Anolis sagrei: one gene and its partner. The protein of the gene in region 2 interacts with the protein of the main gene of each other region in a biochemical or structural test. Links are inferred from orthologs where the notes say so. Each region holds a gene or a part of one and is shown on either strand. Other genes may lie near its edges. The genes, in order: GOLPH3 and MYO18A.

The links.
Region 1: the proteins of MYO18A (region 2) and GOLPH3 form a complex in vitro, tested with the Homo sapiens proteins (2 studies listed by IntAct). The link is inferred for Anolis sagrei from reciprocal best matches to the Homo sapiens genes MYO18A and GOLPH3.

What each region holds. Positions count from the first base shown.
Region 1 is NC_090022.1:281,124,530-281,128,455, reverse strand, and holds the start of GOLPH3 (Golgi phosphoprotein 3), read right to left. Parts: upstream 2,994-3,926; 5' UTR 2,825-2,993; coding exon 2,570-2,824; intron 1-2,569. UniProt on the Homo sapiens protein: Phosphatidylinositol-4-phosphate-binding protein that links Golgi membranes to the cytoskeleton and may participate in the tensile force required for vesicle budding from the Golgi.
Region 2 is NC_090031.1:34,158,345-34,162,270, reverse strand, and holds the start of MYO18A (unconventional myosin-XVIIIa), read right to left. Parts: upstream 2,780-3,926; 5' UTR 2,635-2,779; intron 1-2,634.

The DNA of each region.
Region 1 (3,926 bases), on a different chromosome or scaffold from region 2:
GGACTTTGTATTTAGCCCAGAAGCGAACCGGTAGCCAGTGGAGCTGCCGTAACATGGACATTGTCCGCTCCCAAATATAAATTTAATGTCCAGGTAAAAGTTTTCCCTGGACATTAAATCTAGTCATGTCCTTCTCTGGGGGATGGTGCTCATCTCCCATTTCTGAGCCGAAGAATCAGCATGGTCCATAGACACCTCCTAGGTTATGTGGCCAGTATGACTGCATAGAGCACCATTACCTTCCCGCCGAAACGGTGCCTATTGATCTACTCACATTTGCATGTTTTTGAACTGCTAGGTTGGCAGAAGCTGGGGCTAACAATAGGAGCTCACCCACTTCTCCAGATTTGCACTGGTACTGTGGCGCAGCTGGCTGCGGAGTCAGCTGCATTAAGATCACTACCGATCGAAAGGTCATGAGTTCAGAGTTAGCCCAGGTCGGAGTGAGCTTCTGACCAATTTGTGTGGCTTGCGGTCGACCTTTGCAGCCCGAAAGACAGTTGCATAGGTCAAGTAGGAAATTTAGGTACCATGTAAGCAGGGAGGTTAATTTAACTAATTTACGACACCATAAAAATCTTCAGTAAGCATGCAAAGAATGAGAAAGTACTTCATCAGTGTCACAAATGGACGGTGAAGTGACAGCTCCCCTGGTGGCCAGAATACTCTCATCAAAGCTGGAATGTTAAGTAGTCTCTGTGTGTCTGTCTATATATGTTGTGTGTCTATGGCATTGAATGTTTGCCATGCATATGTACATTGTAATCCGCCCTGAGTCCCCTGCAGGGTGAGAAGGCTGTTTGGCTGTTTGGCTGTGCATTTAAGTAATCAGACCTAATTTGCCAAATAGTCACTATGGAATGTTTTTATGTTGAATGTTTTTATATTGTGTAAATGCTATTTTAGATTGTAAGTCGCTCAGAGCACCTTGGTGGAGAGCGACTAATTAAGAAATAAAGTGAAGTGAAGAGAAGCGAAGAAGGGTGGAATATAAATACTGCAAATAAATAAATAAACAAACAATCGACCTTTCAGTTAGCAAGTTCAGCAGCTCAGCAATTTAACCCACTGCACCACTTGAGGACCCTCCCATATCTATATCTATAGATAGATAGACACTCCACTTGCCTCATTCCCACAGACCCCTGAACACACCTCTGTGGATGTTTGCCACAGATGTAGGCAAAACATCAGGACAGAATGTTCCTGCCACATAACCATGCAACCTGGAAAACTCAGCCTCACCAAACTACAACTCCCAGAATTCCATAATAGTTAAAGTCATGTCAAAAGTGCCTTTATTGTCGAAGGCCTTCATGGCCGGAATCACTGGGTTGTTGTAGGTTTTTTTGGGCTATATGGCCATGGTCTAGAGGCATTCTCTCCTGACGTTTCGCCTGCATCTATGGCAAGCATCATGAGATGGCATGACACATTAGACCTCACCTCTGAGGATGCTTGCCATAGATGCAGGCGAAACATCAGGAGAGAATGCCTCTAGACCATGGCCATAAAGCCCAAAAAAACCTACAACAACCCAGTGCCTTAATTGTATGGTGTCAATGCATCCAGGTCTGGGCCAACTTCGGCCCTCCCTCCAGGGGTTTTGGACTTCAACTCCCACAATTCCTAACAGCCGATAGGCTGTTAGGAATTGTGGGAGTTGAAGTCCAAAACCTAGAGTGAGGGCCGAAGTTGGCCCAGGCCTGCTCTGGAGTCTTGTCCCCCAAAAAGCCCTCCAAATGCGGCCTTATCTGCAAAGAGTGCTGGTGCCTCACCAAACTACAAGTCCCAGAATTCCGTAACAGTTAAAGTCATGTCAAAAGTGCCTTCATTAGGTTCTTGTAGGTTTTTTCGGGCTATAGGGCCATGTTCTAGAGGCATTTCTCCTGACATTTCGCCTTCATCTATTGCAAGCATCCTCAGAGGCAGTGAGGTCCTCACTGCCTCTGAGACCTCACTCCCTCTGAGGATGCTTGCCATAGATGCAGGCGAAACGTCAGGAGAAATGCCTCTAGAACATGGCCCTATAGCCCGAAAAAACCTACAAGAACCTAGTGATTCCAGCCATGAAAGCCTTCGACAATACAGTGCCTTCATTGTATGTTGTCAATGCATCTAGGTCTGGGCCAACTTCAGCCCTCCCTCCAGGGGTTTTGGACTTCAACTCCCACAATTGTGGGAGTTGAAGTCCAAAACCCTTGGAGGGAGGGCCGAAGTTGGCCCAGGCCTGTTCTTGAGTCCCCCCCCCCCAAAAAAGCTGTGCCAAAGAGTGCTAGTGCCTCACCAAACTACAACTCCCATAATTCCATAACATGTGAAAAGTGCCTTAATTGTATGGTGTCAATGCATCCAGGCCTGGGCCAACTTCGGCCTTCCCTCCAGGGGGTTTGGACTCCAACTCCCACAATTCCTAGGAATTGTGGGAGTTGGAGTCCAAACCCCCTGTAGGGAGGGCCGAAGTTGGCCCAGGCCTGCTCTGGAGTCAAGCCCCCCCCCCCCCCCGCAATGCGGCCTGCTTGTCCAGGCGAGCCCGGCGTCGTGGTGGTGGTGGTGTTGGTGGGCGCACCTCTCGGTCCTTGAGGCCCAGGAGCAGCACCTCCTCCATGAGCGTCAGCCGCGTTTCCTTGGAGTCGCCCTTCTCCTCGTCGCCGGCGTCGTCCCTCCGCCCGTCCTCCTCGGGGCCTCCTCCGGAGCCGGGCCCCCCGCCGCCTCCTCCTCCGCCCAGGCCTCCCCCGGCCACCCGGTCCTTGTCGGCGGCGCTGCGGGAGGCCTCGGTGCGGCGCTGGACTAGGCCCGAGTTGCGCTGGGTCAGCGAAGTCATGGCGGAGGGGAGAGGGAAGGGGAGAAGAAGGAAGGAGAGAGGGAGGCTGAGGCAGAGGCCCGGCCCGCGCTCTCCTCAGGAGCCAAGCGACGGCGGCGGCAGCGAAGGCTTCTCTTCCAATATGGCGGACCAGGCTTCCCTCCGCTGACGCCAGAAGAGGAGGAGGAGGAGGAGGAGGATGTGGCAGCAGGGAGGGGGAGCTGGAGGAGGAGGAGGAGGAGGAGGAGGAAGGCCGGCTTCACAGGCCTCTCAGGCAGCAACCACAACACAACACGCCCCCAGGTCTTCCCCTCAGGTTCTGCCCAAGCCAAGCTGAGGTAAGCTAGACGCCTTCCCTTTCCTCCTGCAAGATGGTGTTGCATTTAAAGAAGTACAAACAAACACAGATGCACACAAACTCTGTATGTGTTTGACTACATCTTTTGTTGTTGTTCATTCGTTCATTCGTTCCCGACTCTCCACGACAGAGCTCCCTGTCGGCCGTCACCACCCCCAACTCCTTCAAGGTCTATATCTACATCTATCTATATACTAGCCGTCCCCTGCCACACGTTTTGTTATTGTTCATTCATTCAGTCGTCTCCGACTCTTCGTGACCTCATGGACCAGCCCACGCCAGAGCTCCCTGTCGGCCGTCACCACCCCCAGCTCCTTCAAGGTCTGTATCTCCATTTATCTATATACTAGCCATCCCCTGCCATGCGTTCTGTTATTGTTCATTCGTTCCAGACTCTTCGTGACCTCATGGACCAGCCCACGCCAGAGATCCCTGTCGGCCGCCACCACCCCCAGCTCCTTCAAGGTTTATATCTACATCTATCTATATACTAGCCATCCCTTACCATGCGTTTTGTTATTGTTCATTCGTTCCAGACTCTTCGTGACCTCATGGACCAGCCCACGCCAGAGATCCCTGTCGGCCGCCACCACCCCCAGCTCCTTCAAGGTCTATATCTACATCTATCTATATACTAGCCGTCCCCTGCCACACGTTTTGTTATTGTTCATCCGTTCAGTCGTTCCCGACTCTTTGTGACCTCATGGACCATCCCACGCCAGAGCTCCCTGTCGGCCGTCACCACCCCCCGCTCCTTCAAGGTCT
Region 2 (3,926 bases):
CACACACAAAACACATATACACAGACTGGGCCAAACACACAAAACACATATACACAGACTGGAGAGAGAGAGAGAGAGAGAGAGAGTATATATATATATATAATTTATTATTATTATTATTATTATTATTATTATGTTCAGTTTACAAGTCTGAACACACACAAAAAACACATATACACAGACTGGGCCACAGCATCACGTGGCAGGGGATGGCTATTATTTATATTATATATTTATTATTATTATTATTATGCTCAGTTTACAAGCTTAAAGGAGGCTGGACCAGGCCTATTGCTATCACAACAACACACAAATATATATACACATATATATACACACACACAAAACACATATACACAGACCGGGCCAAACGCACAAAACATATATACACAGACTGGGTAGAGAGCGAGAGAGAGAGTATATATAAATATATATTTATTATTATTATTATTATTATTATTATTATTATGTTCAGTTTACAAGTCTGAACACACACAAATATATACACACACAAAACACATATACACAGACTGGGCCACAGCATCATGTGGCAGGGGACGGCTAGTATATATATTATTATTATTATTATTATTATTTATATTACATATTATTATTATTATTATTATTATTATTATTATTATGTTCAGTTTACAAGCCTAAAGGAGGCTGGACCAGGCCTATTGCAATCACAACAACACACAAATATATACACATACAAAACACATATACACAGACTGGGCCACAGCATCACGTGGCAGGGGACGGCTAGTGTATATATATATATATATATATATATATATATATAATTTATATTACATAGTTTTTATTATTATTATTATTATTATTATTATTATTATTATTATGTTCAGTTTACAAGCCTAAAGGAGGCTGGACCAGGTCTATTGCAATCACAACAACACACAAATATATACACACACACAAAACACATATACACAGACCGGTCCACAGCAATGCGTGGCAGGGGATGGCTAGTATATATATAGATGATGATGATGATGAGGGGTGCTTTGAATGCAATATTCCTGCTTCTTGGCAGAATGGGGTTGGACTGGATGGCCCATGAGGTCTCTTCCAACTCTTTGATTCTATGATGATGATGATGATTATGTATTATTACACATACTGGGCCACAGCATCGCGTGGCAGGGGGCGACTAGTATATATATAGATTATTATTATTTATATTATAATTATATTATTATTATTATTATTATTATTATTATTATTATTATTATTATGTTCAGTTTACAAGCCTAAAGGAGGCTGGACCAGGCCTCTTGCTATCACAACAACACACAAATACACACACACACAGAGATATACACAGACTGGGCCACAGCAATGCATGGCAGCTAGTATATATATAATAATAATTATTTATATTATATTATTATATTTATTATTATATTTACTATTATTATTATTACTATTATTACTATTATCCTCAGTTTACAAGCCTAAAGGAGGCTGGACCAGGCCTATTGCAATCACAACAACACACAAATATATACACACACACAAAACACATATACACAGACCGGTCCACAGCAATGCGTGGCAGGGGATGGCTAGCATATATATAGATGATGATGATGAGGGGTGCTTTGAATGCAATATTCCTGCTTCTTGGCAGAATGGGGTTGGACTGGATGGCCCATGAGGTCTCTTCCAACTCTTTGATTCTATGATGATGATGATGATTATGTATTATTACACATACTGGGCCACAGCATTGCGTGGCAGGGGACGACTAGTATATATATAGATTATTATTATTTATATTATAATTATATTATTATTATTATTATTATTATTATTATTATGTTCAGTTTACAAGCCTAAAGGAGGCTGGACCAGGCCTCTTGCAATCACAACAACACACAAATACACACACACACAGAGATATACACAGACTGGGCCACAGCAATGCATGGCAGCTAGTATATATATAATAATTATTATTTATATTATATTATTATATTATATTATTATATTTATTATTATATTTACTATTATATTTACTATTATTATTATTATTATTATTATTATTGTGTTCAGTTTACAAGCCTAAAGGAGGCTGGACCAGGCCTATTGCAATCACAACAACACACAAATATATACACACACAAAACACATTTACACAGACTGGGCCATACACACAAAACACATATACACAGACTGGGTAGTGTGTGTATGTGTATATATATATAGTTTATTATTATTATTATTATTATTGTGTTCAGTTTATAAGCCTAAAGGAGGCTGGACCAGGCCCCTTGCAACCACCACAACACCCCACCCATGCTTTTCCTTTTCTGTGCACAAACCACACACCTTGCTCCTTTCCCCTCCCATCTCTCTCTCCCTCTCTCTTCACATGCTCAGAGGCCACCTTTTCCTCCTCCTTTTGAGCTTCTGTTCTGAAGAAGGTGAAGAAGGCAGGTGTGCTGCCAGGTGTGCAAAAGGGGAGGGAGGGAGGGAGGCCTTTGAAGTTGTGTGTGGGCCCACCCACCCACCTACCCGAGTGTGTGTGGATGTGAGGGAAAGGCTCACACCCAGGAAAGCTCCCTCCCTTCCCCTTCTCCTCCTCCCGCTCCCAGGTGGGCTCCTCACCGGGGTGGCGGCGTTGTCTTGGGCTTCTCCTCCTCCTCGGCTTCTCCTTCTCCTTCCCGGGCGGGCCTGTGAGCCGGCGAAGGCGGAGGAAAGAGGCAGGCCCAAGCCGGGAAAGGCAGGCCTCACACAAGCCCCGCCCCTTCCGCTAGCTCCGCCCTCTCCTCGCAGGGCTCCACCCCCTCCTTTGACTCCGCCTCCTCCGTTGAGTCCATTGGCTCCGCCCCCTTTGTTGATTCCATTGGCTCCGCCCCTTCAATGAATTCCACTGGCTCCGCCCCCTTTGTTGATTCCATTGGCTCCGTCCCTTCAATGAATGCCACTGGCTCCGCCCCCTTTGTTGATTCCATTGGCTCCGCCCCTTCAATGAATGCCACTGGCTCCGCCTCCTCCGTTGGCTCCGCCCCCTGAGGAAGGAAAAGAAGAATTCTTCTTAGCCTTATTATTATTAACATTATCCAAAACCCTTTTGTAATAGCAATAATAATAATCATCATCATCATCATAATTCTACATAACCACACACCTTCCTCCCTCCTCCCTCTACTATTAATTATATATATATATATATATATATATATAGTTCTAGACAATCACACACCATTATTATTATTATATGATATAATAGTTCTACACAAACACACACCTTTATTATTAATTATGAGTATATATGACATATATATATATATAAATACTCACTGCATAATGAGTACCTTAAAAACAAAAGAACCAATGAACGAAATCACACCAAATTTGGCAACAAAACGTCTCACAACACAAGGAGTGATCATCACTCAAAAATTTATGATTTTGTCATTTGGGAGATGTAGTTGCTGGGATTTATAGTTCACCTACAATCAAGGAGCATTCTGAACTCCACCAACGATAGAATTGAACCAAACTTGGCACACAGAACTCCCACGACCAGGAGAAAACACTGGAAGGGTTTGGTGGGCACTGACCTTGAGTTTGGGAGTTGTAGTTCACCTACATCCAGAGAGCACTGTGGACTCAAACAATGATGGATCTGGATCAAACTTGGCACAAGCACTCAATACGCCCAAATATGAACACAGATGGAGTTTGATATTTGGGAGTTGTAGTCACTGGGATTCACAGTTCACCTACAATCAAAGAACATTCTGAACCCTACAACTTCCTGACACTTTTCTCTATTGATACTATTTCTACACAACCACACTTTCCTCCCACATTCCGTTGTTGTTGTTATTGTTGCTTCTATACCTTCCTCACACCTTCCCACCTTTTTCACTCCTGTTAAAAACCCCACTTTG